Linked DNA regions of Caenorhabditis elegans. The protein of the gene in region 1 interacts with the protein of each later gene in a pairwise test. Each region holds a gene or a part of one and is shown on either strand. Other genes may lie near its edges.

The links. The genes of interacting proteins can lie anywhere in the genome.
Region 2: the proteins of oma-2 (region 1) and prx-5 interact in a two-hybrid assay, tested with the Caenorhabditis elegans proteins (one large-scale study listed by BioGRID).

The regions. Positions count from the first base shown.
Region 1 is NC_003283.11:8,027,520-8,031,740, reverse strand, and holds oma-2 (CCCH-type zinc finger protein oma-2), read right to left. Parts: upstream 2,303-4,221; 5' UTR 2,233-2,302; coding exon 2,195-2,232; intron 2,147-2,194; coding exon 1,991-2,146; intron 1,943-1,990; coding exon 1,721-1,942; intron 1,677-1,720; coding exon 1,529-1,676; intron 1,484-1,528; coding exon 1,267-1,483; intron 1,222-1,266; coding exon 821-1,221; 3' UTR 527-820; downstream 1-526. Other genes in the region: vars-1 (valine--tRNA ligase), read right to left, coding at 1-31, 78-154, 197-285; F43H9.4 (Glycine N-acyltransferase-like protein), read right to left, coding at 3,024-3,186, 3,235-3,296, 3,344-3,452, 3,568-3,779, 3,836-3,977. UniProt on the Caenorhabditis elegans protein: Zinc-finger RNA-binding protein that binds to 5'-UA[AU]-3' motifs in the 3'-UTR of maternal mRNAs to suppress translation in oocytes and embryos.
Region 2 is NC_003280.10:8,703,265-8,707,301, reverse strand, and holds prx-5 (TPR_REGION domain-containing protein), read right to left. Parts: upstream 2,479-4,037; 5' UTR 2,478-2,478; coding exon 2,378-2,477; intron 2,329-2,377; coding exon 2,144-2,328; intron 2,096-2,143; coding exon 1,751-2,095; intron 1,703-1,750; coding exon 1,472-1,702; intron 1,327-1,471; coding exon 1,237-1,326; intron 1,185-1,236; coding exon 721-1,184; intron 675-720; coding exon 581-674; 3' UTR 542-580; downstream 1-541. Other genes in the region: Homeobox protein ceh-7, read left to right, coding at 3,473-3,670, 3,878-3,934.

The sequences.
Region 1 (4,221 bases):
GGCGGGGGTAAAACCATACGAAATAGACTGCCTGAAAAATATTTTTTTGCCTAGAACTATTATCAAGGAAATCTGACCATTCTTTCGATAATTTGCAGCGGCAAACTCTGTTCTTTGTTCAAAATTTTGTGTTACCTCGTCGATGTTAAAGGAGCTGAAAAAATTAGTTATTTTATTTTCTTAGTTTATCGTTTACCTACTACTTTCACGTGTAATAATTGTCGGTGAGTAAGCACATTGCCTTCTTGAACGATGAAAAAGTGCTAATCGATTCAATTTACCCATTTATTTCACCTGAAACCACAAACAATAATTTAAAAGAAAGAATGCGCTCAATCTGTTGAAAAATTAACGCTCGTCTGGACGAAGCAAATGCGCCCTGTCGCGAAACTAATTGGAGGGAAGATTAAAAAATATTTTTTTGTCAAACGAAACATTTCAGAAATTATTTTGCAATTCTATAATTGAAAATCAGATATCTTCGTGAAAAAACGTTATTTCCAGATGGTCTTCAAAAACATTGATTGACATTCGATAAAGTTTATTGATTGTTAGTGTGGGGAGAGGATACGAGCAATTTATATTTGGAGGGAATTGAAAATACATGCAATGATATCCGATATAATAAAATGCAGCAAAATAATTCAAGTTTAGTTTCAGAGCCTGCGAGAGATGGGGGGAGCGAGCGTGCTTTCTATATGACAGGAACATTGAGCTTATTATATTTACAAATTGCGCGCGTTATTATAGTTAGTATGGGACATAAAAACGTATGGCAATTTGACAAAATGTATAAATAGATGGGGAAGGAGGTGGTTATTCACCACAATTCAAGGTGCTTGGCAATGTCCATGGCAAGTTGATCAAGTCCAGGAATTGGAAGAGTTGTCTCGTTTCCAATCATCGGATTGTTGATAGACTTCAGAAGAATAGACTGAGCAGACTCCGAGTTGGCTTGGCAGGCAGCATCTGCAGCAGCAGAAGCAGCTGTGAGTGGAGACGAATCACTATCTTGAGACGGAGTTGATCCAGAGGAAGAATATCCCGAAACTCCTCCCGGTGTTGATTGTTTTCCAAGCATAGAGTATTGCATGTTCCCGGCTGCTCCAATAAGCATAGACTCAAACGGACTGATTGGACGAGTTGCCATATTCAGACTATCCAATGCGAAGAAAGTTGATGGATCCAACGGCCAGCTTGATGGTGGGCGATTCCCGGCTTCTGTAAAATTATTTTGAATTAATCATCAATATTCAATTTTCATACCCTCAGTCTCAAGTGGCTTCTTCGATGGCAACTCGTATCGTGGTCCACGAATGCTAACTGGGGTTGGACCCAATGGCATATTTGCTGCTGGCTCATCTGGTGTGCATGGCCTTGCAAACATATCAAATTGTTGAGGGCCGGCTGTAGAACGACCTCCATTCATGATATGATGCTCCATTTGATCGCGAAGGTCGGCCAAAGCATGACGTTGCGAAACCTGTTGAAGATTTGATTAAAGTGGAAAATTAAAAAGTTATCTTACCTCGAACAATTTATCGGCTCGAATGTATGCATTTGGTCCATTGTCCGGATGAATGAAAAGACAGCGTTTTCCATATGGGCACAACCCAGTAGTAGTGTACTTATCGCAGAGCTTCGTCCGGTACTTATTGTTTTGACGTGCCTCGATCCTGTAAAATATGTTGTGTAATCTTAATTCAATGTTCAAACCAACAGAGATGGACGAAGCTCCTCTTCGCCGTGAGCAAAACGACAGTTCTCCGCGAAAGCACATGTCTTCGACTCCAACCAAGCCTGACATATGACAGTCTTGTACGATTCCGGTTTTTGCATTCGGTGACGGCGTCTTGGATCAGCATGATATTGCAGTGGGAGAATAGCTTCCTGTGGAAGATTTTGAAGAGCTCTCATTTGCATCGAATGAATATGCTCGTTTCTGAGAAGATAAAATTTAAGAAACAGTCCATTTATCCTATAGAATTACTCAGCAATCTCCTTGAGAAGCTGCTCCTTGACAGCCATCAGGTTAGCGGTCTCGGAAAGCAAATCGTCGATATGAGAAATCGGTTTTTGCTGTTCTTCCGGAACAGTCTCCATCATATCGGGATGCGATGGTTCAACACTCGACTCTGTACGAGCCCTTAAAAAAGAAAATTAAAATTGAGAAACTATGATAAAAGTGGCTCACTCATTATTCTGGATAACATTTTCCTTGAGCATATCCATTATTTCGTTAGTAGTGCAGGGGAAATGGGTGGTTAGTGATTAGGCGTGGGGTGCTCGGTTAATTGATTCCCTGAAATTTAAAGAAATTTTAAAAATGGTAAGATTCCGCGAGCAATGAATAACAACCGTCTAAAGAATGAAAGAAATAAGTTTTTAACGAGAAAAAACGAATGCGCCAAAACGGTATAAAATTATTGTTTTAAGCGACGTAATTCAGAAATAAGCTCTTTTAAAATTCAAATAAACGGGCCAAAATCCTTCTGAATGAAATAAATGAATGAACAGAACCAAATGTTGTTGAACAAAAGAAAACTGAAGAAAACCATCTCTGTCCCAAAATTTCGAAACAAAAAGTCAATGTTTGGCGGCAATGCGCGCTAAATAAGATCAAATAATTATTTTTTAATACTTAAGTTTAGAATTAAGTCTGAAATTTATGGTTGAATCAAAGTCAAAAAACTTGCAAGAAAATGTTGCCAATTTTCACCAATGACTACGGTCACACTCGTTTGAGATGTGCACTCCCCGCTGCTGCGCCTTTAAAGGTTACTGTAACTAATAATTTTTTTTTAGCAAGCATGGAAATTGTGTAATTGTCTGAAAAAGTAACTCATAAACAGCGAATAACTAGATTTTCTCGACTAAAAAATTTTCAACAACACTGTCTGACCAAAATCTAGCTGTAAAAGAACATTACTTTGCAAATATACTTGCTGGAAGGTATTCGAATTTTTATTCAATATTTACATGTATATTTGATTTATTGTAAGTTCATTGTATTCCTATTAAAATCACTTGTGCATTCCATAATTTGACGCCTGGGAATAAACATTTTGGTCGAAAACTAGCGGTGTTCCATTGGACTCAACAACATCCATCAACTTTGACTTTTTTGCTTTTTCCAAGAAGAAACTGTTTGTTGTGTCGATGAACTTGCATGGACGCATTCCATTTCTAAAATATTATCATTTTTCCACAGTCCTTTGTCAAAAAATCACTCACTCAATAGCCATTTTAGCAGCTCCAATCTCCAACTTCTCTCCAAGATTTTTACCACGATGCCCCTAAAAACAGATTTGAAAATATTCAATTTGAAAATAGTAAAACTCACATCAAAGACATGCAAATGAGCAAGTGCTCCGTGAGTTTCTGAAGAAATGAATCCAACAAGTTCGTCGCCTTTACGAACGCAGAGCGATGGGAACCGTCGAAGTTTTTCTCTGAAAAAAATTCCTATTTTTCCATGTAACTGTTGTTTTACGATTTCTCGATTTTGTGAGAAAATGATATAAATCTAGTACTGTTGGTTTTTAATTTCCTGATCCAAAAACTCACTCTACTAATTTTGCATTTGGTGTGATAGATGATCCTACAATCTTCATAACATCATTTGTTGATTCAGGTATATCAATTGAGTATCCATCAGGTAATGTTGTATCACCATAATTTCTATATTTGAAAATTTGACTTTCATTCATTGCAAAAAAGTGTGTTGATTTGTTTTGCACCTCTGCATTAATATTGTTTTTCTTCATGTACTTTTCAATCTAAAATCAAACGTTTCTTATCTATTAACCTTTGTTCTGTTTTCATTGTGTATTACCGCTTTAGTGTAACATTTCTCGGCTACAGTTGATGGAGCATTGGAGCCAGCAAACAATCCATTTGTTTTACAGAATTCATCAAAAACCGCCAGAAAGTCTTCTTCTCGAAACTTTCCATCGTGTGTCAGAATTTGACGGTCTCTGAAAAGGTGCGAAGGTCAATTTCGAATTGAAAAAAAGAGATAGCAAAAGGTGGGAAAAGGTCTTTAGTGATACTGAAAAATGTTTTTGAAAATGAAGAAAAACTGGTTTAGGAATGGATTGTCATGGAAATGTTTGATCTTATCAAATATTACGGTCGAATCGGAAAAACATGAGTGAAGATACGGAAAAATGTAGTCAGCCATGGACATTTAAAACGGAATTCACTTTTTTTTCAAAGTGA
Region 2 (4,037 bases), on another chromosome or scaffold:
TGCTCCTCTCAATTGGAGCTGTTTCTCTCGGATCTTCTTCTTCTTCAACCAGCTGTACCTTTTCATGATAAATGGCCATGTCATGTGCTTCAAAGACAGAAAGAGAAAAGGAAGAATGTGTTCGATGACCGGCAAATAGAAAAGAGTGAGACGTTTGGAAGAGGGTGGCGGAAAGATGATAATAAATAGAATCAGTCATATGTTCCGAGGTTTTACTCATGGAACGGTGACTCATGTGGAATTTCTGAGCATTTTGTAGAAATTCACCGTAAGAGAAATGATAGGATTTGATTACTTAGTGTCTAGAAGTCTTGAAGAATGTTATTTTAATTTAGGCATTATTCAATCATTTCATTGAGCTCTAACAATGTGAGTTCTACAAACAAAACAAAATGAGCTGAACACTTTTTGTGCTAGGTCGGTTTACTTCCTGCTTTCTTACCGCTGTAATAACATTTTATGACCCTTCCAAACTCGTGATCGGCTTGAAATTGAGATTTTCAAAATGAAAGTTTGAAAACCAAGTAAAAAAATTCGAGGAAAAATAATTATTTATTTTAGTATTTAAATTGTAATTATTCTAGACTAGAGAGGCTTTTACAGCTGCCAAATCTCGTCTTTCCACTGCTCTCAGTAAATTGTCAGGGACATTCGATGTTCGGATTGCTGCTGATCTGAAATTTGTGAAGGTGATTTTAACATATAAAGCTATAAACTAACCTCATAGTTGTCCAAATACCAGATGCATCATTTCCTCCTTTTTGCAATTCTAATGCAGATAAAAAATGTTTCAAAGCTTCATCATAAGATGATAATTGCATACAAGATATTCCCAAATTGTATCTTGCTCTGACATATGTTGGATACAATTTCAAAGCTTCTCGATATGCTGAAATGGCTTCAGCTGTGTGGTCACCATTGGCTAACGTAGCACCAAGACGATTCCAGAGACGAGCATCAGTTGGATTTTTGGAGATCGCCAACTTGAGAGAGTCGACAGCTCTTGCAAAATTGCGATTCAAGTTGTATAAAACTCCGAGAGCATTTTGAAGATCTGGATCTGGAGTTGCTCCTTGTTGCCGAGCAGCATCCAAGAATCTAGCCTCAACTCGATTAAAAGTGTCACTGTCCAGAAATGAAGAGTAGAGTGGAGGTGTGGTTGTCACTTGAGTCGAGTTTGAACCCTTAAAATATTTATTCGTGTGGGATTATTCTTGAAATAAAAATAAGAAATACCAAGTAAGAAGACATCCATTTATCCAATTGATGTAAAGCTTCATTTTCCATTCCTTCGTTCGCTTGACTGACAGACAAACCAAGAAGTGCCTGAAATAATTTTGATTTTATTGGAAGTTTTTTTTTTTTTTTCTTAATTTCTGTTCTTAAAAAGTTTTAAGAGACAGATATGAATTTTATCGCGACCTATCTATTTTATGGCATCAAATAATCAAATATTTTTCTCAAATTTTACCTCCTTGTTTCCAGCGTCAATCTGCAAACATTTTTGGAACGCTTGCATTGCTAACTGATCTTTTTCATTTTCAGCATGAGCCAATCCTAATTTACACCAGGCACGTGCATCCTGAGGATCTTTTTGAACTGCTGCTTCATAGGCAAGCATGGCATTTCCAATATCTCCATTTCTCATTAGATTGTCTCCTTCCATCAGTGGATCTGACATGGTTGTGAAAGGGTTTGCTTCCTGAATAGGAGGGTTATAAAAATGTGTTAAAGAAGACAAAAATCTTACCTGATAAACATAGTTTTCAGGACTTTGAAGAGATTCGTCCTTTTCCATATCTCTCTTAATTTCCTCCCATCTCTGTTCAAAAGCCTGTGCATCTTTCCAAGTGTTTTCCATTCCATAATTATCTTGTTGCTCCATAAAATCATCAGCCCAGTTTTGAGTCCCAGAAGATTTGGTTAAAGAAGTATCCACAGTATCCAGATATTCAGATGACCACATACCAGCATCTGTTATTGGTTGATGTGATGACGTGGATGTCATTGATGGAGCTTGAACTTGACGCCATGCAGATTCCATGCTTGGAGCACTAGATGTGTATTGTTGACTCCATTGACTCGCTAACTGGTTCTGAAGCAATCAATTGAAAATACCAATATATGAATGCATTAGAAATACCTGTCGCGGTTGAAACTCCTTTGTCCAATTTGCTGCCAAACTTGAGGATGCTGATGCCTGTGGTAAATTATTCTGCATCGACTTCATGCTGAAACTTGTTGGAGCCATTGTTCTCGCTTGTTGTCTTAAAAATTCATTAGCCATTTGTTCTCCCATAGAAGAAGATGGGAGAAGAGAAGCTGCAGCTAAAAACTTTTTTTTTTGTTAATTTTTACTTGAATATTTCCAGCTTACCATTACTCGGAGCGACTCTTTGATTGGATGTTCCAAATGTGTTAGCTAACCCGACAAGAGCATTCTGCTGTCCACATTGTCCTTCTACAACTCCTTTCATTCTGTAAAAAATTGAAGAATTCGAGAGTTAATTGTTGAAAAAAAGTAGAATTAAAAATGAAGAAAAATACAATTTACAAGAAATATATAAAATAAAGTGTGAATTTTGATTGAAAAAGAAAATAAGTGGGCCCCAGTGTAGTCTTTTCATCAAATTGATTGATACTACATTAGGATTTAGAGTGAAGGAGACGTAGTGATAAAAAGATAGTATTGTCTTATCAAAAAGGATACAATTGATGAAATTTAGATAAGGAACAACGGAGGTCGACTATCGATTTCTGAAATAACCGGGAAACGTTTATGGATTTTTTTTCCAAGTTTTCCTAGCAAGATTGAAAACGTAATAAAATAGAATACCTTATTGTAAGTTTCCAAATTTCAATCCTTCAATTAGATATTCTAGTTGCTAGTGGAGTTATCCTAGATCGTTTTAAATTAAGCAAAATGGATATTTTGCACTTGGTTTGATTTTCAACAACACGGGTTTCTGGCTCGACCCGTCGCCCCATTGCACACTTGCACGGGGGAAAAATATTTGATTGTGCAATAATAATAATAATTTTTCGTGTGCAAAAGACAAATTTTGCTCGAATGAAGTTGTGAATTTAAAGAGAGTTCCCCCATTATTCCATAGCTAGGATTGATGTCATCTGGATCAAAATTTCAAAGATATCGAAACTGGCAGGAAAAACATTATTAACCAAAAAAATGTCAAGACAACCTTATTCGTCGACTGCATACATTCAGTTTTTTCCCCTATTTTGACATATTCTGTATACCTATAGGTTTTGTAACTATAAAACATTCCTTGAATACTTTTTTGTATAATGTCATCATTATTATATTTTCTTTTATAAACAAGGCCTATTAAAATGTCCAATAAAACTACGAAGATATACACAAAAGGTGTGATTTTATAATGTATTCCCTATAATTTAAACGAAACGAAACGAAAACGGGCGGCCCCTTGTACTGACAATTGACGGCATAAATATGAAACACGAAATGGTCTTTACATTCTTACTGATGATGGTTAGACCAGAAGCTTCAACCTCCAGAATTCCACGTAGAAGAACCACATTTACAGTGGAACAACTATATTTACTCGAAATGTATTTTGCACAAAGTCAGTATGTTGGATGTGATGAAAGGGAAAGATTGGCAAGGATTTTGAGTCTAGATGAATATCAGGTTTCTATTGTTTTTAGAAATCTATTCTCTATTAAAATTGTTTGCGAAATTTATCCACCAGGCTGAGCTCCAGCAACTTCTACGTTAAGTCTAACATATCCGATTGTATGTTGTAAAGATGTGATTAGATCAATCTAGGAAAAAAATAAAAAATTTTTAAATCAGTTGTTATCATTCAATAATTTTCCGAGACGTAGCACATTACAGGTGAAGATTTGGTTCCAAAATCGTCGAATCCGGATGAGAAGAGAAGCCAATAAATAATAGTCAAATATTTATTTAATTTCATTTCACTGAAATAAATTTTGTAGTTAGAACCACTATTTCCAACATTGAAAACATCGCTTTACGGTTTTGAAAACTCCTC